Caenorhabditis elegans: one gene and its partners. The protein of the gene in region 4 purifies or fractionates together with the protein of the main gene of each other region. This does not show direct contact. Each region holds a gene or a part of one and is shown on either strand. Other genes may lie near its edges.

Region 1 (4,952 bases), on a different chromosome or scaffold from region 4:
AAATTGACAAAATGAGATGAAATTGTCTAAGATGACCGAAAATTGTCTGAAAACTCATGAAATGCTGTTTAAGCCGTGAAAATAACCGGAAAATTGTCGGAATTGAGCTGGAAATTATATTTTTCAGGAATTTTTAGTTAAAAATTATCAAAAATTGACTGAAAATCACGTTTTTCAACTAAAAATATATTGTTGAGTGAGGCTCACACTACAAACTACAACATTTTCTAGCCTCAACCAATTTTGGTTGAGGCTCACACTACAAACTACAACTTTTTTAGCCTCAACCAATTTAAGGTGAGGCTCACACTACAAACTACAACATTTTCTAGCCTCAACCAATTTTGGGTGAGGCTCACACTACAAACTACAACATTTTCTAGCCTCAACCAATTTAAAGTTCTCAATTTTGGTTGAGGCTCACACTACAAACTACAACTTTTTAGCCTCAACCAATTTAAAATTCTCAATTTTGGTTGAGGCTCATACTACAAACTACAACTTTTTAGCCTCAACCAATTTAAAATTCTCAATTTTGGTTGAGGCTCATACTACAAACTACGAAATTTTCTAGCTTCAACCAAATTTTTTTGAGCAAACTGTGTCAAATTTGCGCTTTTTTGGTAATTTTTTCAGATTTTTAGTGCGATTTTTAGGGTTTTTTTTATTGAAAACTTCAATTTTTGGCGAATTTCAGCCATTTTTCAGCCATTTTCAGTGTATTTTTTACCAGGAAACTTTAATTTTGATCATTTTTAGCCAATTTCAGCCATTTTTAAGTCAGTTTTTCAAAGGAAATTCCATTTTTTTGAGCAATTTTCAGCCGATTTTCTGCAAATTTTCATTATTTTTACCTTCAGTTTGAATCCATAATTAACAGCTTGACTAGTCATCGGCAAATTCATCATATCATACCAAATCTTGGCGGGACCCGTTCTCCACGGCTGAACTACCGTACCCTCTTCATTTTTCTTTGCCATTTCCTCTGCATCCGTCAGTATCGGTCTCCGCATTCGTTCTTCTTCATCGTCAGCCAACATGACACGTGGCACCTTCTCAATGATGTTAAGCTTCAGCTTTTTGGCTCCAACGATGACGTCATCAGCGAGGGGCTCTTCGGGCTCTTTTTTGCGTTGATGTTTGGAGAAGGTTCGGGAAGCCCACCAGATCTCGGCACGGGACGTATGTTTGATATTTTGAGCAAAAAGTCGAGAGAAACGAAGAGTTTTGTTTGGATTGAAGTCTTTGAAGAAGATTCTGAAAATAAAATTAAAGGATTTTGCGGAAAAATGGGGGTTTTCAGTGATTTGCGTGAATTTTTGGCGAATTTTCGGAATTTTTTTGGAAATTTTAACAGAGAATTATGGAATTCTAGAAGAAATTAGCAGTTTTTAGCAATTTTACATCAAAATTTCGAGTTTTTCGGCGAGAAAAACCAGTTTTCAGGGGAAAAATGACGGGTTTCAACCATTTTTTTTGGAATTTTTGCAGAAATTGGCCAATTTTCAGGCTTTTTTTGGCTTTTTTGGCTCGAAAAAAAGGTTTAACAATTTTAAAGCAAATTTTCGAGTTTTACATGAGATTTCTGATGGCTAGGAAAACCATGGGTTTGTGTGGAAAAATTGTGGGTTTTTTCGGGGAAAAGTGACACGGGTTTCAACGATTTTTGAGTGAATTTTTGAGTTTTTTAAAGGAATTTTTGCAGAAATTGCCAATTTTCGGGTTTTTTGACTTAAAAATTGTGTATTTGTGTGTTTTTATGAAACTTCATTGGAAAACTGACTTTTGGAGCAAAATTCGAATTTCAATTTTCAATTTTCGAATAAAACAAAACCCAACATTTCAGTGAAAATTCGATTTTTCCAACAAAAATCGTCACTTTTATTCGATTTTTGCGCGAAATTCGAATTTCGGCAAATGTTTGCCAATTTTTTGAAATAATGGCGCTTTTCATGCTTAAAAAAAGTGAAAATTTGTTTTTTCCAACGAAATTAGAATTTCTATCAATTTTTCGAGAAAAAAAAATGAAAATTTTACTGAATATTCGATTTATTCAACAAAAATTGAAAAAAAAATCGTCACTTTTACTCGATTTTTTTTCGAAAAATTTTGAAAAAAAAATCCCATTTTACGATTTTTTGTCGAAATTTTTGATTTTTCCAGCAAAAACTCTTTCCAAATCGACTTTTGGCGGGAAATTCAAAAAATTTCAGTTTTCAATTTCAAGGGCAAGCAAATTTTGCGGAATTTTAAAAGAAAATTATGGAATTTTGGAAGAAACAGCACGTTTTGAGCATTTTTGGAATACTTTATTCAAAAAATGTCATTTTCGAGCAATTTTCAGAGTTTTTAAAATAGATTTTCCGAAGAAAATTCGAATTTTCGGGTGATTTTATAAAAAAGTTTGTAAAAATGGAAAAAAAAATAAAGTTTTTAGAGAAAAATGAAATTTTTTTTAATGTTATTAAATTAAAATTTGTCAATTTTTATACCACACACATCTCATACTACACATTACAGGATTCGGCAGGAAATGAAATTTTTTGTCAAATTTCCCAATTTTCAGTGATTTTTGATAGAATTTTTGAGTTTTTCGTGGAAATTTCCGGTAAAAAACGTCAATTTCAACAGAAATTTGTGGTTTTCAGTACCTCGGATCAATTCCATCAAGATCCGGATGTAAAATAGATGAAAGTGGTGCATCATCTCGAAGTGATGGTCTTGCAAATGGTTCCATATCTTCTAATCGTACAGGATCACCAATATATTCTTCAAATTCTTCATTTTTTTCCACTTTTGGCTCCATTTTCACACTTTTAGAGCCGCCATTAGAAGCTGACGAACATGCTGAAAAAATGAAAAAAATGAAAAATTAGTGAAATTCCAAAGTTTTTTTTTTCGATTTTCGCTACCTTCATTCCGTGCTGCCGGATGATTTTTGTAGAAATCCGAGAGATTAGCGTAAGGATCCTCTAGATCTTCTTCATTTTTTGGCTTTTCCGTTCGATACCCATTTGTGTGATGATGTGTATTGTTCATTACTGGAAAAAATTACAATAAAAAATTTTGAAAAATATTTTAAAAACCTGGAGATTCACGAATTTTTCAAGAAATTTTCACGAAAAAATTGAATATTTTCTGAATTTTCTGCTCAAAGTTGCTCGATTTTGAGTTTTAGAGATTTTGAATTTTGAAAATTCATGAGTTCTGTCTATTGATATTCTTTAGAAAATTTTCAGAGAAAAAAAAGAAAACGGAAATTTTGAAAAATTCGAAAAAAAAACCATTAATTTAGTCTCAAAATTGAATTTTTATTTAATTTGAATTTGAAAATCGATAAAATTTCCATTTTTCCGAATAAACAATGAATCAAAATTGTGCAAATTAAGAAGAAAACACCAAAAAATGCACAGACTACAAACTACAACATTTTCTAGCCTCAACCAACTTTTGGTGAGACTAAAAACTTGTAGAAAATTGGAAAAAATTACGATAATAACTTTAAAAATAATTCTAAAAACCTGATGATTCACGAATTTTTAAATTTTTTCACGGAAAAAATGGATTTTCTGCTCAAAATTGCTCGATTTTGAGTGAAAAATGGATTTGGTTGAGGCTCACACTACAAAAACTACAACTTTTTCAGCCTCACCAAAGGTTGGGCGAGGCTAGAAAATGTTGTAGTTTTTGTAGTGTGAGCCTCAACCAACTCCGGAAAAACTAATTTTTTGGGGAAAGTTCTCAGTTTTTTGAATGAAACTCGAATTTTAATTATTATTTCTTCAAATTTGATTGATTTTCGCATAAAAATTAGACTTTTCAAGAAAAAAAATGAAATTTACAATCATTTCGCTGAAAAATTTAATTTTTCACCGGGAAAATTCATTTTTCGACTAAAAATGTTATGAAAATCTAATTTTTTCAAAGTTTTTCGGCAAAAAGTTGAGTTTTTTCTGACTTTTCGGCTTAAAATTGCTCGAAAAATGCATTTGGTTGAGGCCGACACTACAAACTACAACTTTTTAAGCCTCACCAAAAGTTGAGTGAGGCTAGAAAATTGTGTAGTTTGTAGTGTGAGCAACCAAGTGCGGAAAAAATCTTTTTTTTGTGGAAAATTCAGAATTTTTGGAATTGAAACTCGAATTTTAATTATGATTTTGTGGAATTTATTGGATTTTGGCATTAAAAAATGAAATTTTTGAAGAAAAATTCATGAAATTTGCAATTTTTAGCAGAATTTCTGACTGAAAATTCAAAATTTCGCTTGAAAATTCAATTTTTCGACTGAAAATTGAATTTAGCGACTAAAAATGTGATGAAAATAAGTTTTTTCCAAATTTTTACAGCAAAATTAGAGTTTTTGAATAAAAATTGTTTTTTTCTAAATTTTTCTTCGAATTTTCACTTTTTATTCGGTTTTTACCGATTTTTAAAACAAAATTTCTGTTAAACGTTGGTTTATGTGAAAAAACGTTTAAAAATTGAATTTTCAGCTAAAAAATAGAAAAACTATTAAAAAAAAAAATATTCAAGTGCAAAATTACACTTTTTCGAGGATTTCCCCCCGAAAAAACCGGAAAAGAATAGCGAAAATAGGAAAGTGAGAAATTCATTTCAAATTATGGGAAAAAAATGACAAAATTATGGAAAATGATTCAATTTTTTCAACAAAAAAAAAGATTCAATTAAATTGATTGATTATCTGAGAAAATTCGAGAGAAAAAACAATGAAAAATGGGCAAAAATACAAGCGAAAAATGGGAATTTTACCCGAAAATTGACACGAAAATGGGGGGGGGGGGGGGGGGGGGGGGGGGGGAAATGGGGATTTATTAGGGTTAAACATGGTAAAAATTGACTAAAAATTCAATTTTTGGGGGAAAAATTCAGATTTCTATGAATTTTTACCCAAAAAACTCGATTTTTTTCACAGAAAATTAGAATTTTCCACT
Region 2 (7,532 bases), on a different chromosome or scaffold from region 4:
TTGGGGAACTACTGTGTGCACGAACTGATGGTCCACATGAACCACCGAGAGCCGGTGTTCGTTCACCGACATCGTCGTCCATGAATCCAGAAGACAAGAAGAATCTTCAGAATAGAAGACGTTGAAAAATGAAAAGGAAGAAGATGAGGCAAGTAGAGGAGAGCGAGTAGTAGTTGTTCCCCCTCCTTCGCCTCCTACTCCCCCCAACTGCTTACTCTTTTTCTCTCGTTCACTCTCTTCCAATCTCTCACTTACTTTTGAAAGCCTTTTCAGAGAAAAAGAGAGTAAAAGAAAGTGCGCAGAGAGCTTTGGAATGAGAGAGGCGCAGAGTTTGAAACGAAAAGCTGCGCGCTCGACTGGCCCCAGGGTGGGGCGGGTCCAAGAGTGTGGAAGAGAGAGAGAGAGGATGGAGAATAGACATTGAGCCTCAATCTTTCGATTATTGTGCTCATGGATTCGGGGGATCCCATGGGATTTGATAAGTATGTCGGAAACAGCAAATGAATGAATAATTAGCGATGGAAATTAGGACTTCAACTAATGAAAAATGGTCAGCAAGTGAATATCTTGGGGGTTTTTCGGATATGATGATCAGCAGGTTCAGGTTATCAAAGTAATGCAGTTTAAGTGAACCTTCACTGTAGGCACTTACCCCCTAGGCATCTGGTAGGGCGTATATCTAGAATTGAAACACTGATTCAAGCGAAACTTTTTCAACTACCGTACTCGGGAGTACTGTAGTACCTCAATCTTTCTCGCCAAATTTCTCCTGAAATTACAGAACTTATGAATTGATTTTTCCTCGAAAAAATCTACGTATATATTTGAAATCGGGAAATAAGGAAAAAAAACTTTTAAAAAGCTTCTATCATACTCGCTGGTACGGTATTTGATAAAGTTTTTCTTCGTGGTAAGATTTTTGTTGATGAAAGAATGAGTCTGTGAAGAATAAACCTTCAAAATTGAACATGGTAGTTGAATGAAAATTAATCTTTTATGCCTAAATAATTTCACATAGCTATATAGCTATTACATTTTTCGCAACAATTCTGAATACCCCGGTTATCGTATTTCGTCGTCTTGGATGCTTGCTAAATGAACCAATTTGTTTACCTATCACGCAATAAAGATGAATCGAAATCACTTTTCGCAATATCGCTTTAAAATGAAACATATAATTCCTAAAATACGCGAAACTCGGGAAAGCGATATTTTTTAAACGACCGCGTTTTTCTATCTCTACCCGCCTCTTGCAATCCCACACTCTCTCGCCTAGCATCACAATGGGGCGCAGTTGCATAAATCGCTTCGCGTTCAAATTCAGAAAATCGTCTCATTTTTATTTTTGTCCTCGACCCGAATGGCCGGTTTCCTTCTTTCTCCGTTTTCTTTATTGATTAATTTTCGCTCGTTTGGCCTAAAAACCGCGTAAAATCCGTCATTTTTCACCTATCTGGCTAATTTTTTTTGCACAAAATAAGATTTTTCAGTTTTCTTTCACTTTTAAACCTTTTCCGCACTGTGAGCTGTTTGCAATTTTCTTAATTTTGCTCTTTGTGCTTTTCGAAATTTTTGTATTATGAAATTTCGTTCTTCCCAAGTGAAATTAACTGAATTTGTTGCAGGTAATGGATTTTATCGATAATCAAGCCGAAGAATCAGATGCCTCCTCGGGCCATTCTGATGATGAAGAACCACAGTCGAAAAAGATGAAAATGGCAAAGGAAAAATCAAAAAGAAAGAAGAAAATGGTTGCCAGGTAATTATAATTCCGGGGTATTTCTATTTTCATTTGTTCATTTTTAGTTCTGACGAAGATGAAGACGACGATGACGATGAAGAGGAAAACCGTAAAGAAATGCAGGGATTCATTGCAGATGATGACGATGAAGAAGAGGACGCAAAATCGGAGAAGTCAGAAAAATCTCGGCACTCGGGAGAAGATGAGCTCGACGATGAAGATCTTGATTTGATCAATGAGAATTATGATATTCGAGAGACGAAAAAACAAAATCGAGTTCAATTGGGTGATTCCAGTGATGAAGATGAGCCGATACGAGTGAGTAATTTCGATTTTTTTCAATTGCCACTAAAATTCATAATAATAATAATAATCAAATTCGGAATTTCAGAGACCCAACCACGAAGATGATGATTTGCTTTCCGAACGAGGAAGTGACGATGGAGACAGGCGAAAAGATCGTGGTCGTGGAGATCGCGGTGGTTACGGATCAGAGTCTGAAAGAAGTGAGGATGACTTTATTGAGGACGATGGAGATGCGCCACGAAGACATCGGAAACGTCATCGTGGAGACGAAAATCTCCCAGAAGGCGCTGAAGATGACGCCCGTGATGTATTCGGAGTGGAAGACTTCAATTTGGACGAGTTTTACGACGATGATGATGGCGAGGATGGTCTAGAAGACGAAGAGGAGGAAATAATAGAAGATGATGGTGAAGGAGGAGAGATAAAGGTTGGAATTTTTGAGAAAAGCTTTGCATTATTGAAATAGGAATGGTTCAGATACGCAGAAAGAAGGATACTACAAAGAAGTCAACACTTCTCGAATCCATCGAACCAAGTGAAATTGATCGTGGATTCTTGTTACCTGGGGATAAGAAAATCGCGAAAGAAGATTTACCAGAGAGGTTCCAACTCAGAAGAACACCAGTTACAGAAGCGGATGATGATGAACTGGAATCTGAAGCTCTATGGATTATTAAATATGCCTTCGAAGAAGGGACAGTGACAAATCAAGCTGACCTGGATCAAGACGATAAACTTGATTGTATAATGAATCTGGATCCTTCTGTCTATGAAGATAGAAAGAAAGCTGTTATAAAATCCATCAAGAAAGTTCTCCAATTCATTCGAGTTCGTTCTAATTCGTTCGAACCTACGTTTATTGGATTTTATCGTAAAGAAGATATTGACAATCTTCTGACAATGAATAATCTATGGAGAGTATACGATTTTGACGAAAAATGGTGTCATTTGTCAGAGAAGAAAAATAAAATTTACGATTTAATGCGTCGGATGAGAGAGTATCAGGAACTCAGTGACGATTTGACCGCAAAAAGACGACCGATTTCGGATGCAGATTTGATGGAGTAAGTTTTAAAATTTAAAATTTAGAATTTAAATTATTTTTCAGCACAAAATACGCAGAAACTCTTGAACAGCTTACCGACATACATGCAAATTTCCAATTGTTGTACGGTGCTCTTCTCGACGATATGATTAGATGGGAAAAAGGACGTTTAACCGGTGAAGAAGAGGAACAAGAGTATCGAGTCAAGTTCAAGTCAAGCATTCGTAATGATAAGTATCAAATGTGTGTGGAAAACGGAATCGGAGAGCTTGCTGGACGGTTTGGATTGACTGCAAAACAGTTTTCTGAAAATTTGAACTGGAAAAAACACGACATTGAGCAAGATCCGATGTTACCATTGGAAGCAGCAGAAGAGTATGTTTGTCCTGCGTTCAGTGACAGTGATATGGTTCTGAATGGTGCGAAATTCATGCTTGCCAAGGAGATCAGTCGACAACCACAAGTCAGGCATAGTGTTCGGCAAGAATTCCGCCAGTCTGCACATTTTTGGATCAAGCCAACGAAGAAAGGACGTGATACAATTGATCAAACTCATCCCCTCTATGACAAACGGTATATCAAGGTGAGAATTATTTGAAATAAATGTCTAGGATTTTAATAAATATATATTTTTAGAGTAAACCAGTTCGAAGTCTCACCGCTGAAGAGTTCCTCTTCTATCACAAAGCCAAAGAGGATGGTCTTGTTGATGTGCTCATCATGTATGAATCTGAAGAAGATCAGGATTCAAATAACTACCTCGTTAACAAGTATCTAAGTGATTCCATTTTCCAAAAAGACGAATACACGGAAAATGTTGAACAATGGAATTCAGTGAGAGATGAGTGTGTGAATATGGCTATAACTGAAATGCTTGTACCCTACATGAGGGATGAGTTGTATAATACGATTCTTGAAGAAGCAAAGACTGCAGTAGCAAAGAAATGTAGAAAGGAGTTTGCATCTCGAATTTCTAGATCAGGATATCTGGTATTAATTTGATTTAATAACTATGTAATTGTTTTGTTTTATTTCAGCCGGATTTCGATAATAACGATGACGATGATGATGGTATGGATCAACATGGAGCTCGTCGAATCATGGCAGTGTGCTATCCAACAGAGCGAGACGAAGCTTCATTTGGTGTAATGGTTGATGAAAATGGTGCAATTGTTGATTATCTTCGAATGGTTCATTTCACGAAACGAACGTTTGGCGGTGGAAACAATGGACTAAGGAAGGCCGAGTCAATGGATTTGTTTAAGAAGTTTGTACAGAGACGAAAACCTCATGCTATTGGATTGAATATTGAGGATATGGAGTGTACTCGATTGAAGGTTTGCACTAGTTTTGAACATTTGATACTTAAAAACTGCAATTTTCAGAGAGACCTCGAGGAAGCTGTGGCAGATCTTTTCTCGCAGAACTTGATCTACAAACCAATTCCAGTATTTTTGATGGACAACGAAGCCGCAAAAGTCTACATGAGATCGAATGTTTCGTTGGCGGAGAATCCAGATCATCCACCGACGCTCCGACAAGCTTTATCCCTAGCTCGTCTTCTTTTGGATCCCATCCCAGAGTATGCTCATTTGTGGAATATTGATGAAGATATTTTCTGTCTCTCTCTGCATCCGCTTCAACGGGATATCGATCAAGAGCAATTGGCTTTGGTTCTCAGTCATGAATTGGTGAACAAGGTCAACGAAGAAGGTGTTGATATCAATAAATGTGCAGAATTCCCTCACTACACTAACATGCTCCAGTTCACATGCGGATTGGGTCCACGAAAAGCCACTGATCTTCTGAAAAGCATAAAAGCTAACGATAATTTGATAGAGAGTAGATCGAAACTTGTGGTTGGATGCAAACTGGGACCAAAAGTATTTATGAACTGTGCTGGATTCATCAAAATTGACACTATCAAGGTATCGGAGAAGACTGACGCTTATGTTGAAGTTCTTGACGGTTCGAGAGTACATCCAGAGACCTATGAATGGGCTAGAAAGATGGCTGTGGATGCGTTGGAGGTTGATGATTCTGCTGATCCAACTGCGGCTCTTCAAGAAATCATGGAATCTCCTGATCGTTTGAGAGATCTCGATTTGGACGCGTTTGCCGATGAATTGAGTCGACAAGGATTCGGAGAGAAAAAGTCGACGTTGTATGACATCTCAAGCGAGTTGAGTGCGAGATATAAAGATCTTCGGCAACCATTCCAAGAACCTACCGGAGAGCTTTTGTATGATCTTTTGGCTCGTTCAGGAAAAGAAATTAGAGTATGTTACTTGTAATAATTCTGTCGATTTTATTTTTATTTTTGCAGGAAGGAGCTAAAGTGTTGGGAACAGTTCAATCTGTGCAGTACCGTAAAGTTGACAAAGATGCAGCAGACAGCATGTTACCTGATGTTGGAGAAGATGGTCTTTTCACTTGTCCATGTTGTAAATCGTTCACATCTTCGGCTCCTGGTGGAATTCAAGAACATATGCTCGGTGACGTAAGTTTTTCTCAACTAATACTATTCGTTAACCAATGTTAAATTATTTCAGTCTCGTCAAGGTGGATGTCCTGGAACACCAGTCGGAATTCGAGTCAGATTTGACAATGGAATGACTGGATTCTGTCCGAACAAGAACATCTCATCAAGTCACGTAGACAATCCATTAACCCGAGTCAAGATAAATCAGCCATATTACTTCAAAGTTCTCAAGTTGGACAAGGAGAGATTCTCACTATTCCTAAGTTGTAAGAGTTCGGATCTGAAAGAAGATGATTTATCTCAACGTGATCAGTACTGGGATGAGCATCAATACCAAGCTGATTTGGAACTGATGAAGAGTGAATCGAAAAAGAAGACAGAAGCAAATACACGTGTGAAGCGAGTAATTGCGCATCCAAATTTCCATAATGTATCCTACGAAGCTGCTACGAAAATGTTGGATGAAATGGATTGGTCTGAGTGTATTATTCGTCCATCGGCTAATAAAGATTCTGGTCTTTCTGTGACATGGAAGATTTGTGACCGCGTCTATCACAATTTCTTTGTCAAAGAATCCGCAAAGGATCAAGTTTTCTCCATTGGTCGGCAACTCTCAGTCGGCGGAGAAGATTTCGAGGATCTTGATGAGTTGATTGCTCGATTCGTTCAACCGATGATACAGATCTCTCACGAGATAACAACTCACAAGTACTTCTTCCCAAATGGAACATGCGAAGAAACAGAAGCAGTCGAGCAATTTGTACGAGAGAAGAAACGAGAGCTGGGACGATCTCCGTACGTATTCAGTGCATCCTACAGACAGCCATGCCAATTCTGTATTTCTTATATGTTCGATAATACAGAACGGATTCGACATGAATATTTCAAAAGTGAGTTTCGAAAAGAGATACGAACAAAGTTTTCAACTATTTTTGTTTACAGTTGTCCCACATGGAGTCCGATTCCGACATCAAAACTTTGATACGCTAGATCGAATGATGGCTTGGTTCAAACGCCATTTCCACGAGCCTCCCATCGAGTTAAGGCGATCTGCGATCCCGGCTCCACAGTATCGAGTTGGTGCTCCTCCAGCAGCTCCATACTATCCTCCTCAATTCGTCGGCTATCACTGAAAACCCTGATCTTATTCTCTTTATTACCCACACCTTATCAGACACATTCAATCCTGTTTCCTTTGTTCCAGTCTATCAACGATGATCTAATTTTAATTTATAGAATACAACATCCATCTGTCTTAATCCCACATAATTTGTTTTGATTTCGGTAATCCGTTCATCCTCGATTTTTACTTTTCAAACATTTTTATATATCTATCAAAATATTTATTCAAGCAGTCATACTGTTCATGAGCTCTTTCTGTATTCAAGTACCATTTTTGTTGTTTACTCAATAAATTTCGTAATCAGAATCACTGCTAAATCATCACGAAAAAACGTAGAATGCGTTGATCACAATTGATATTGGAATAAGAATTGCAAATTCAGTTTTAGAAGAAAAAAAAGTATTCTAGATTCTACTCATATGAATGATTCATCACTAAAAAAGGCACTGTCCCAAAACTCGATCTCATCCGCGCCAAGGTAGTAAGGTTTTTGTTTCTGTCGTATCTATTTAACCTAAACGTAAATTAAAAAATATCTGTCTTTTTTTCTAGGCGTCCTCAAAAACTTGGAAGTGTGCAGAGTATTGTAAGAAATGAATCTGACAAAAGTAAGTTTCAAATCAAATTTCCCAATTAAATCAATTAATTTACTTTTTGAGATGTTCCTTCTCCTTTCGAAGAGATCACACTGAGCGACGATGATGAAGAAGCACCGGCTAAGAAACCTGTAAAATGTGCGACGTGTGCACGAGATATGACTCTTTGGATGAATTCCAGAAGGTTTGAAATATTATTTGTGTTTCTTCTCACTGTTCAAATTTTAGAGATATTCATG
Region 3 (3,662 bases), on a different chromosome or scaffold from region 4:
TACCTTTTTAAAGACGCACGGATTTATTATGAATAATAAAAATTGTTTAAAAACATTTTCAAAGTATACATTTTTTAAAGTACCACGAACTTTTTGCGCAGTAAGACCCATCGGAACAAGTCTGTGCACCTTTAAGAAACCATGTCAAAATCCAGTGAAATGACGATAAATACACAAAATATTAGGTTCTCAATTCTAACTGGTGGAGGCGCAGAAAGAAAAAAACCTGACAATGTGAGATAGATCTTATAGAGAAACAGTTAGATAAAGAAAATTTCGGCCCGAAAGAGCAACTGGCGAAGAGGGAGAGACGAGATTATCGTAACGCGGGAAATTTCAATCAACAGGAACAGTGAACGCAATCGACACCGAACTGATAAGAAGTTGACTCCAGAAATGCTTATCAACAACCGCGATCTGGACTTGGAGGTCACGTTAAACGATGAAGTTTACCAATGATGACATTGGACCACTAAACTAAAAGTATATATACGATTTCACGTTTAGAAATATTATTAAAATAAACCGACAAATTTTAAAACGATGCTTACACGAAGCAGATTTATAATTTAAAATCGGGGTGTGAAAATCCGTAAGGCAGATGACGTTATCTGGACATTTCCAAAAGTTCAGGTGAATATTACATAAATTGTTAAAACGTTTAGAAGCATTTGCGATGAACAATTGATGGTCCAGACTCGTCGTATTCTTGCTTGGAGATCCACATCTGTTGGAAGGTGGAGAGGGAGGCGAGGATAGATCCTCCGATCCAGACGGAGTACTTGCGCTCTGGTGGGGCGATGATCTTGATCTTCATGGTTCTGAAAAAAAATCAAATTAATTTGTTAACTAAAACAAAAATAGAAAACTTACGATGGGGCAAGAGCGGTGATTTCCTTCTGCATACGATCAGCAATTCCTGGGTACATGGTGGTTCCTCCGGAAAGAACAGTGTTGGCGTACAAGTCCTTACGGATATCAATGTCGCACTTCATGATGGAGTTGTAAGAAGTCTCGTGGATTCCTGCAGATTCCATACCCAAGAAGGATGGTTGGAACAGAGCCTCTGGGCAACGGAAGCGTTCGTTTCCAACAGTGATGACTTGTCCGTCAGGAAGTTCGTAGGACTTCTCGAGGGAAGAGGAAGAAGCGGCGGTGGCCATTTCTTGCTCGAAATCGAGGGCGACGTAACAAAGCTTCTCCTTGATGTCACGGACGATTTCACGCTCAGCGGTGGTGGTGAAAGAGTAACCACGCTCGGTAAGGATCTTCATGAGGTAATCAGTAAGATCACGTCCAGCCAAGTCAAGACGGAGGATGGCGTGTGGGAGGGCATATCCTTCGTAGATTGGGACTGTGTGGGTAACACCATCTCCAGAGTCGAGGACGATTCCGGTGGTACGTCCGGAAGCGTAGAGGGAGAGGACAGCTTGGATGGCGACATACATGGCTGGGGTATTGAAGGTCTCGAACATGATTTGGGTCATCTTTTCACGGTTAGCCTTTGGATTGAGTGGGGCTTCAGTGAGAAGTACTGGGTGCTCTTCTGGGGCAACGCGAAGCTCGTTGTAGAAAGTGTGATGCCAGATTTTTTCCATGTCGTCCCAGTTGGTAACGATACCATGCTCAATTGGGTACTTAAGGGTAAGGATACCTAAAAACAACTATTTCCAATCGGTCAAATTTTTTGAAAATTTACCTCTCTTGGATTGGGCCTCGTCTCCGACGTACGAGTCTTTCTGTCCCATACCGACCATGACTCCTTGATGACGAGGTCTTCCGACAATGGATGGGAACACGGCGCGTGGAGCGTCGTCTCCAGCGAATCCAGCTTTGCACATTCCGGATCCATTGTCAACTACGAGAGCGGCAACATCGTCGTCACACATGATTTATTAGATTAGGAGGAACTTAGCCTACAAAATAATTATGAATTATGAATCATAATTTTGCCGAACAAGATATTACGGTGATAAGATAGAGATTTCAAAATTGATGATCAAAAGCTTTCCAATTAAACCAGCTATAGTATCAAAACAAAACCAATTGGTTCTTAAACACAAATTGTATGCAAGTGCAGCGAGAAAAGAGAAATCAGCATTCGGCCTAAAAATTTGCATATTCCTATTGAAAAAAGAAGGGAAACAGAGAGAAAAGAGTGGTGAGACCGTTATCAATATATTTGAACAACGCGACGAACGTGTTTGATAAGAGGGAAGTCGGTAAAAGATAAAAATTCGATACGAAACTGACAAAAAAGTCGTCGCATGCCCAATTCAACAGCAGAAAACTCTCGAACAGAGGCGTGGCTTCGCGCGCTAATTCAAATGGGTTCCGCGCGGGAAGGCCGATAGAGCACACTTGCTGACCGTCATGTTGAGTCATCTTTTCCTTTTTTGGGAACACGTTTCAATTCTTTTTCATTGATTTTCGTGATTTTTTAATCATTCCTCAATTTTTCTTCGTGATTCATTGAAGTATTCGCCGAATCAGGTATTGTTTTTATATAAAGGGTGGATTAATTCGAAAACAATAATAATTTTTGCTTGAGAAAGAGTAGGACTATATTATTTCGAATATACTAAAATTAATAATATTTCTGTTGAAACGTTTGTTGGATCTGGTATCTCATCTCCGTTTTCGGATAACTACGGGCGGGTCAAACAGAAAGTGGCGAGAAGGTATCGGTGAACGGCGTTAATCTCGTCAAAATTAATATAGAGATCGCTAGGAATGTGGAAAATGCCATTCCTTCTTTGGAGATATAGAAAATAAAAGGGCGGCGCATTTCAACATGCGCTTGGTTCTCAGAAATTGCATGAGTCATCGCAAATATTTCGAAATTCCTTCATATGCGCAACGAAAAATTGTGAACATTTCACAATTTTCTAATTTTTAAATCTTCAAAATTCTAACATTAATTTCTAGGGCTTTCCAAGGATATATTCTTGAGAAGAAAATAGCTTCGAAAAGGATAGACAAAACCGGTCAATGTATGTTTCAATGAATGGTTTGACTTAAGCTCTTCTAACCAGCAATTGCTGTGCGGGCAGCGCAATACCAGAACCAACCCAATATGCGCTAATCGTTATACACGCCTCATTTTCTTTCTGTCACGAGGAAATCGTTAAAAAAGCAAACCTTCAGAAAAGTCGAAAGGCTTATGGTTTCTTCAAGTGAAAAGGTATCTAGACTACGATTCCTCCAGTATTTATATGTGTCATCTAATTTCCCTTGCACCTTCCCACGCAAAAATTCTTCACTAGCGTTCCAATTACTGATTGGGTCCGCAGACTTTTTTGCCATTTTCGATCCCCTATGCTGTGATGTTTGTAAACTCTTCGAAAGTATTTCTATCTCATCGAATATACCAAGAAAATCCTGCATGAGTTTCTTGCCTGCCCCCCCCCCCCCCCCACTGGTTTTTTTTCTGCTCCTCAATATCAGTTGGTACTCTCCCGATGATTTCTGAACATCTTTCCGCCCTCACAAGTGCTTGCACACATAGACCAATATCAATGAAGATTAAAAAAAAATAAATTAATTTCAAAATGTGGAAAGAAAATATTAAATAGCCTTAAAAGATGTATAGCATATGTCTGCTCAGTGTATGTTCCATCACACATGTTCGCATTAGTGCACAACGGGGTGATTTACAAGCT
Region 4 (7,504 bases):
ATGTCACACTGACAATGTTTAAATTAGCCCGACTTTCATTCAAAAGCTCACAAATTGATTTTATTGAACTGTCTAAATATTTCTGGTTTCCATAAACTGCTTTATGTTCATAATACAATTCTCTTTTCGTTGATCTTTTGTCATTTTCGAGCAAATCATAAACTTGGTGAAGACAGTGCAAATCTCTATCCAATTTTCCTTTCCTCTTTGCTGTATAACGAAGGCAAAAATGTGATTTACTAGTCGATCTGAAAAAAAAAACAAAATTACTCAAACATTTTCAACAGGAACTTATTACATTCTCAAAGTCAACGATTTCTCTTTGTTATCCATTTGCCTTTTAATATCTGCAAGAGCGAATTCAATTTTTCTCATAGCTTGTTCCTTCGGTGGTATTACTTCATCGTCAAGAAAACTGTCATCAGAATCATCAGAATCCGAATAAATAGTGGATTGTTGAGATTCTACCTGAAAATTGCAAAATTAGATTTGAATCAGCAATATTAAGCTTACAGATCCGGGCTCATGATCGATATTTGGGTTGAAAGAATATTCATACATGCTTTAAACTAATTAGTAGAACAAAAATACAGATAAAATGGAATAAAACTTTGATAAAACTTGGACGCAAGCTAATAAGGCTCCAGCTGCAAGATACAAAAAGTCAATAATCGAAAGGACCATACGTGAAAATAAAGCACGGGTCCCGCAGCGAATCGGAGTAGTACTGTAATTTTCGTCAGATTTTTAATACTCGGCGCCGACGAGTCTCAATGTTCGATCTTCTTTTCTATATTCTTAAATTGACATTTTTCTTCAAAAAATATTTTAAAATGCATTTCTTAAATATAACTCGGTTTTTCTCAATCCCTGCCGAAAAACCACAGCTTAAATGCAATTTTGAAGCGAATGACTGCACCATTCATTTCGTCGCAGTCGAAGAAGATTTTTATAGAATATAAAATTTATGTATAGTATTCATTTTTTTCTTAAACTAGCATTAAATGTTGTTGCGCTGAAATATTTTTGCTATATTAAATTTCCTTCAAATACTTTATTCAAATAGTCATAATGAAGCTCTGATATGGTCTATATCTACCGTAGTCTTCTTGTATTTTCCACTATTCCTTCTTTTCTTGTCTCTTTTCCCATTCATTTGTCCTCTCCGCCGCAATGGCCCGTTTCCAATGCAGGCAGACATGCAGAGTGTCTGCGTCTCTCCATTTCCAATAGTGTTTCTCCTCACTTTGCCTCTCTGGCCAATCGACGCTCGGCGCGTCCACTGCATACATTCAAACCTTCTTCTTCCCCAGCTGCTTAGTCTAACACACAATTTAGACCATTTTTCATGGATTTTCTCGGTTTTCAGACGAATTTCACGATATCAAGCGATACTAGTTATCAGTATACACTTATACGTCGTTGGAAAACGAAAAAACCTCTCAGGATTCATGAAAAGTCGATTCGTACACGTCACTACTTATCGATTTTTTCACAATCTTTAGAAATCGTCAATCTTTTAGTTTTTTCTTAGCTTTTCTTATCTCACTAGCTCACAAAGGGCCCCCGAAGAGTTCTCCGTGTTTTATATGCGCTAGAAATTTTGAATGCGCGCCGAAAGTTGTGTCCTGCAATACACTACATCTCTCTTTCACTTGCACGCTATTTCTCGGTTCCATCAGTCCTACTCTTTTTGCACTAGGATGGATGGAAAGTCTATATATTGTCCTCGGTTTTATTATTCACGCAGGCTTCTTCTGAAATTCGCTTATATACTATTACCGCAATACTTTTTGTTTATCTTGAATGTTCAATTGAATCTAAAATTCTGAATTAATAATTGTTTCAGACTATCAATTTGAAAGAAGATAGTGTATCAAATTGCTGGAATTTTGAAGAATGAGCGGAAGGCCGGCGTTTGAGCAGTTTACTGCTCAACCACCGCAACCAGCCGGTGAAGTTGTTGCTCAGCAAGCTGGTGATGGAGCTCAAGGCCAAGAGCTGACAATTTCCAAACTGGAAAATGCGATAACTTCAATGGAGGAACAAGGTCTTCAGAATGACCATCGACACGCCAAAGCAGTTCTTTTGAAGCAAAAACTCCAATCTGGTCTCCCAGACGCCGTTCCAGGACAGGAAAATGGCGGGAATCAACAAATTACCCCAGCACAACTCAATCAACTGAGGGCTCAAGTGTCAGCCTATCGTCTTTTGGCTCGAAATGAACAAGTACCGGCCAACTTGATTGCGGATGCTGTCATGCTCCGACCAAAAGTTACAACTTTGTTGCCTGAACCTTATGAATATCCAGGAGAGGCAGAGAATGGAGAAAAGTTGCCGTATGATTTGATGAAGGTAGGTAAAATGGATCGAATGAAACTATACAGTCTACTTTTTTACAGATTTTCAATCTCCATCAAATACGCTGTAATCGTCCAACAACAATTTCTGTTCCATCAGGAATTGATCCTGTTGGCATGCTCAAGCAAAGAGAAAATATGATTCAAAACAGAATCGGGCTACGCATGAAGCTACTCAATAACTTACCCGCCGACATTCCAGATCACATGAAATTGAAAGCAGAAATCGAATTGCGTGCTTTACGTCTTGTCAATCTCCAAACTCAGGTAATTTCTGGATTCGAAGAGTATTTTAACCAATAAGCTGTTTTTAGGTGCGCAGTGAAGTGATGGCTTGTCTCAAAAGAGACACAACTCTCGAAACTGCACTCAATCCATATGCGTATCGACGCACAAAGCGGCAATCTTTACGCGAAGCTCGTGTTACCGAAAAGCTTGAGAAGCAACAAAAGATGGAGCAAGAAAGAAAGAGAAGGCAGAAGCATACTGATTTGATGCAAGCTATCATTCAGCATGGAAAGGAATTCAAGGAGTATCATAGGTGAGATTGTATTTAGAAAGTTCTCCTACTAATTAAATTATTTTCAGAAACAATCTTCTGAAAATGGCAAAGTCTCGCAAGGCAGTCATGACATATCATCAAAACAATGAACGTGAACGCAAGAAGGACGAGATTCGAAATGAAAAACTTCGTATGCAAAAACTGATGCAAGAAGATGAAGAAGGATATCGTGCTCTTCTTGATGAGAAGAAAGATCAACGTCTTGTGTATCTTCTTCAACAAACCGATGAGTACGTCGACTCTCTGTGCTCACTTGTTCGTCAACATCAAAATACCGAAAAGAAAAAGAAGAAGGAAGATAAGAAAATTGAAAAAGGAAATCAAATGGATGAGGAAGCCAGGGTTCACGTTCGGGAGAGAAGCACTGGAAAAGCGCTTACTGGAGATCAAGCTCCAAAGACTGAAGAAATTGAGTTTTGGCTTGAAACTCATCCAGAATATGAGATAGTTCCACGTGATCAGCTTAGTGATGACGAAGAAGAGGAAGAGGAAGAGGCTCCAGTGGAACCAGAAGAAGAGAAGGATGATCAGTACGCTGGAATGGATGAAGAGACAAAAGCTAAGATGATCCTCGAGAAGGCACGTAACGAAGAGGATGAATATGATCAGAAAACGAAAAAGCAAATGGCTGATTACTATGCAACTGCTCACAAAATCAAAGAAAAGGTTGTCAAGCAACACACAACGATGGGTGGTGGTGATCCGAATCTTCTGCTGAAACCGTATCAGATTAAGGGATTGGAATGGATGGTCTCCTTATACAACAACAATCTGAACGGTATCCTCGCCGACGAAATGGGTCTAGGAAAAACTATTCAGGTAGGAATTTGGGAAATGAGGAAATATTAATCAATTTTTAATTTTCAGACAATCTCGTTGGTGACGTATTTGATGGAAGTCAAACAAAACAATGGACCATATCTTGTCATCGTACCGCTCTCCACGTTGTCCAATTGGCAGAACGAATTTGCTAAATGGGCTCCATCTGTAACCACTATCATCTATAAAGGAACTAAAGATGCTCGTCGTCGTGTTGAAGGACAAATCAGAAAAGGAGCGTTCAACGTTTTGATGACAACATATGAATATGTGATCAAAGAGAAAGCACTGCTTGGTAAAATCCGTTGGAAGTATATGATAATCGACGAAGGACATCGTTTGAAGAATCACAATTGTAAATTGACATTGATGTTGAACGGATTCTTCCATGCTCAGCATCGTTTACTTCTTACTGGTACTCCACTTCAGAACAAACTTCCTGAGCTATGGGCTCTGCTGAACTTCTTACTTCCATCGATCTTCTCATCTTGTGGAACTTTCGAACAATGGTTCAATGCTCCATTTGCGACTACAGGAGAGAAAGTAGAACTGAATCAAGAAGAGACGATGCTCATCATCAGAAGACTGCACAAGGTTCTTCGTCCATTCTTGCTGAGACGTCTCAAAAAGGAAGTAGAATCACAGCTTCCTGACAAGACCGAGTATGTCATCAAGTGTGACCAGTCTGCTTTGCAAAAGGTTATTTATCGTCATATGCAGAAAGGATTGCTTCTCGACGCTAAAATGTCATCTGGAGCACGTTCGTTGATGAACACTGTCGTGCATCTTCGCAAGCTTTGCAATCACCCGTTCCTTTTCCCTAATATTGAAGATTCCTGCCGTGCATACTGGAAGGTCAACGAAGTCAATGGAACCGATCTAATGCGTGTTGCTGGAAAGTTGGAACTTCTCGATCGTATTCTACCGAAACTAAAGGCAACAGGTCATCGAATTCTGATGTTCTTCCAGATGACGTCTATGATGAACATTTTCGAAGACTTTTTGAATTTCCGAAGATACACGTACCTCCGTTTAGACGGTTCAACTAAACCAGACGAGCGTGGAGATCTGCTGACACAGTTTAATGCTCCTAACAGTGATTTGTTCCTTTTCATGCTTTCTACAAGAGCTGGAGGTCTTGGACTCAATTTGCAAACTGCTGATACTGTTATTATCTTTGATTCGGATTGGAATCCTCATCAGGATATGCAGGCTCAAGATCGTGCACATCGTATCGGACAAAAGAAAGAAGTTCGAGTTCTTCGTCTCATCACAGCTAACTCTGTTGAAGAGAAAATTCTTGCCGCTGCTCGCTACAAGTTGAATGTCGACGAGAAAGTTATTCAAGCAGGAAAGTTCGATCAACGTTCAACTGGAGCTGAAAGAAAGCAAATGCTCGAACAAATTATTCAAGCAGACGGAGAAGAGGAAGAAGAAGAGGAAGTTCCAGATGATGAAACTGTGAATCAGATGGTTGCTCGCTCAGAGGAAGAATTTAATATCTTCCAATCGATGGATATTGATCGTCGTCGTGAAGAAGCTAATCAACTTCACCGTAAACCCCGTCTTCTAGAAGAACATGAAATTCCAGACGATATTCTCAAATTGTCATTCGATTATGAGGAAATGGAACGAGCCAGAGAGGAAGGTCGTGAAGTTGTTGATCAAACTCCTAATCAGAGAAGACGCAGAAGAGAGGTAAGGAATATATAAGAGAATTTACAATATTAATTCATTTTCAGGTCGACTACTCTTCCGATCTTTTGTCCGATGAACAGTTCATGAAACAAGTTGAGGAAGTTGAGGATGAAAATAATCAAGCTGTGGCTGAACGTAAAAAGCAAAGAAAACGTAAAATGGCTGGATTGGACGAGAATGATGATTCTATGGATGACGTTGTTCTACAACACAAGAAGAAGAAGACGGATCCAGAATTGGCAGAAAAAATCAATGAAATGCTTGATGTTATTCTAGAATATAAAAATGAGGATGGAGAACTCATCGCGGATGTATTCCAGACACTTCCAACTCGTAAAGAACTGCCGGACTATTATCAAGTGATTTCCAAACCAATGGATTTCGATCGAATCAACAAAAAGATCGAAACAGGACGTTATACGGTTATGGAAGAATTGAATGATGATATGAATTTGCTTGTGAACAATGCTCAAACATACAACGAAGAAGGCAGTGAGATTTATGTTAGCTCTGAAACAATCGGAAAATTGTGGAAGGAACAATACGATAAGGTATGATTGATTTTTGAAATTTCGAAGTTTACATTACTTTTTCAGTTTATGAATCCACCGAAGCCAGTAGAAGAACCAGTCAAGAAGAAAGAACCTTCAACCCCATCAACTTCATCTTCTCGTCCCTCAACCAGTGGCACTCCAAGTGTGTCAGATCTTCAGCGGACACAACAGGCAACTGCTCAGCAAATGTTAATGCTTATGACACATATGCAATCACTTCCACCCGCACAGGCTCAGCAGTTTCAACAGGCATTGATGACACAGACCGGTGGAAATCAAGCCCTAATGCTTCAATATATGCAGTCGGCTATGCTAGCTCAACGTGCACAAGCTTCAACTAAAGTAACCCCCAAAAAGGACGAGAAAAAAGAAACTTCGTCTTCTGTAAAGACCGAGGAAGCTAAGAAAGATGATGAACCATCAACATCGTCTGCAAGTGCACCACCACCGAAAAAGAAGAAGGAATCGGAAGATAGTGAAGACCCAATGGAAGAAGATGAAGAAGAGGAGATCATTGGACAAAAGAAGGTTACTTGAACTTTTTTAATGTCTTTAAGTCTAATATTTAATTTCCAGGAACCAGCATCAAGCCGTCGAAAGTCTCGTCCAACTCGCCGCTTCTCGAACGAGGATGAGGAAGAAGAAGACGACGAGTGATCAAAACTAGTCTGCTCCAAATATTTTCATGTCCCCATAAACATTTATTCTCTGTTTGTGTATTCTTCATGTTCTATGATTTCTGATTTTTTGAGCTGTCACCATAAATATGTCCCACCTCGTTCCCCCATTCTTATCTCTCCTGCTTCACAGTTATCTCTCATCGCTTTTTTACTGTTTATCTCTACTTCTCTTTTCTGTCGCAAGCTACACGTTTGCAGGAAAAAATCCCTGAAACAAAAGCATTAAGCATTGTATTTAACCCATATTCCACTTTTAATCCATACTATTCGTCAACTATTTTAAAGAAAAATTTAATTTTATAAACATTTCGAGAGAAATATGCTTTTGTTATCAAGAATTATTTTCGAATTTCGTTGCGATTTCTTTTATTAAATACTTTCCGTCTTAGTTCGAGATTTTGAATGTTTAATCAAACACACTTATGATTTAGGTAAACGGGAACAAATGTCGGCACTCAGAAGCACTAAGGTGAGTTTAAGAGCTTGAAAAGGTTGAATACTTGCTCCAAAATTGAAAGTGTTATCTGAAAACCCTACGTTCTATCTTCTCAGGGTCTCGTTGCTCTCGTCACTGGCGGAGCGTCTGGACTGGGAAAGGGTGCTGCCGAAGTTTTGGCAAAGGCTGGTGCACAGGTCGCTATTCTTGATCTTCCACAGTCAAAAGGAGCCGATGTTGCGAAGGAGATCGGAGGAATCTTTACACCAGCTTCGGTAACAATGATTTCATGCTACATTTGTAAAGAGAAACTTCAAGTAAAATATTACCCAGACGCCAATTTTGCGATCTCTGTCTCGACACGCCCTTTTTTGTAAAATAGAAACGAGTGTGTG

Evidence for each region.
Region 1: the proteins of swsn-4 (region 4) and taf-1 fractionate together in Caenorhabditis elegans (co-fractionation; one large-scale study listed by BioGRID). This does not show direct contact.
Region 2: the proteins of swsn-4 (region 4) and emb-5 fractionate together in Caenorhabditis elegans (co-fractionation; one large-scale study listed by BioGRID). This does not show direct contact.
Region 3: the proteins of swsn-4 (region 4) and act-2 fractionate together in Caenorhabditis elegans (co-fractionation; one large-scale study listed by BioGRID). This does not show direct contact.

What each region holds. Positions count from the first base shown.
Region 1 is NC_003279.8:13,859,563-13,864,514, reverse strand, and holds the start of taf-1 (Transcription initiation factor TFIID subunit 1), read right to left. Parts: upstream 3,042-4,952; 5' UTR 3,040-3,041; coding exon 2,913-3,039; intron 2,848-2,912; coding exon 2,652-2,847; intron 1,258-2,651; coding exon 855-1,257; intron 1-854. UniProt on the Caenorhabditis elegans protein: The TFIID basal transcription factor complex plays a major role in the initiation of RNA polymerase II (Pol II)-dependent transcription.
Region 2 is NC_003281.10:4,714,762-4,722,293, reverse strand, and holds emb-5 (Suppressor of Ty 6 homolog), read left to right. Parts: upstream 1-1,623; 5' UTR 1,624-1,628; coding exon 1,629-1,759; intron 1,760-1,806; coding exon 1,807-2,059; intron 2,060-2,132; coding exon 2,133-2,474; intron 2,475-2,524; coding exon 2,525-3,111; intron 3,112-3,155; coding exon 3,156-3,675; intron 3,676-3,728; coding exon 3,729-4,082; intron 4,083-4,129; coding exon 4,130-4,429; intron 4,430-4,477; coding exon 4,478-5,371; intron 5,372-5,418; coding exon 5,419-5,592; intron 5,593-5,644; coding exon 5,645-6,464; intron 6,465-6,516; coding exon 6,517-6,707; 3' UTR 6,708-7,001; downstream 7,002-7,532. Other genes in the region: acy-1 (adenylate cyclase), read right to left, coding at 1-82; him-18 (SAP domain-containing protein), read left to right, coding at 7,117-7,175, 7,250-7,305, 7,357-7,477, 7,522-7,532. UniProt on the Caenorhabditis elegans protein: Histone H3-H4 chaperone that plays a role in maintenance of chromatin structure during RNA polymerase II transcription elongation.
Region 3 is NC_003283.11:11,076,239-11,079,900, forward strand, and holds act-2 (Actin-2), read right to left. Parts: upstream 1,917-3,662; 5' UTR 1,890-1,916; coding exon 1,700-1,889; intron 1,655-1,699; coding exon 874-1,654; intron 822-873; coding exon 662-821; 3' UTR 539-661; downstream 1-538. UniProt on the Caenorhabditis elegans protein: Actins are highly conserved proteins that are involved in various types of cell motility and are ubiquitously expressed in all eukaryotic cells.
Region 4 is NC_003282.8:11,124,175-11,131,678, forward strand, and holds swsn-4 (SWI/SNF chromatin remodeling complex core catalytic subunit swsn-4), read left to right. Parts: upstream 1-1,849; 5' UTR 1,850-1,899; coding exon 1,900-2,355; intron 2,356-2,402; coding exon 2,403-2,627; intron 2,628-2,674; coding exon 2,675-2,901; intron 2,902-2,948; coding exon 2,949-3,741; intron 3,742-3,789; coding exon 3,790-5,439; intron 5,440-5,483; coding exon 5,484-5,990; intron 5,991-6,035; coding exon 6,036-6,521; intron 6,522-6,569; coding exon 6,570-6,650; 3' UTR 6,651-6,988; downstream 6,989-7,504. Other genes in the region: Meiotic recombination protein spo-11, read right to left, coding at 14-248, 299-468, 514-561; ard-1 (3-hydroxyacyl-CoA dehydrogenase type-2), read left to right, coding at 7,119-7,142, 7,226-7,384.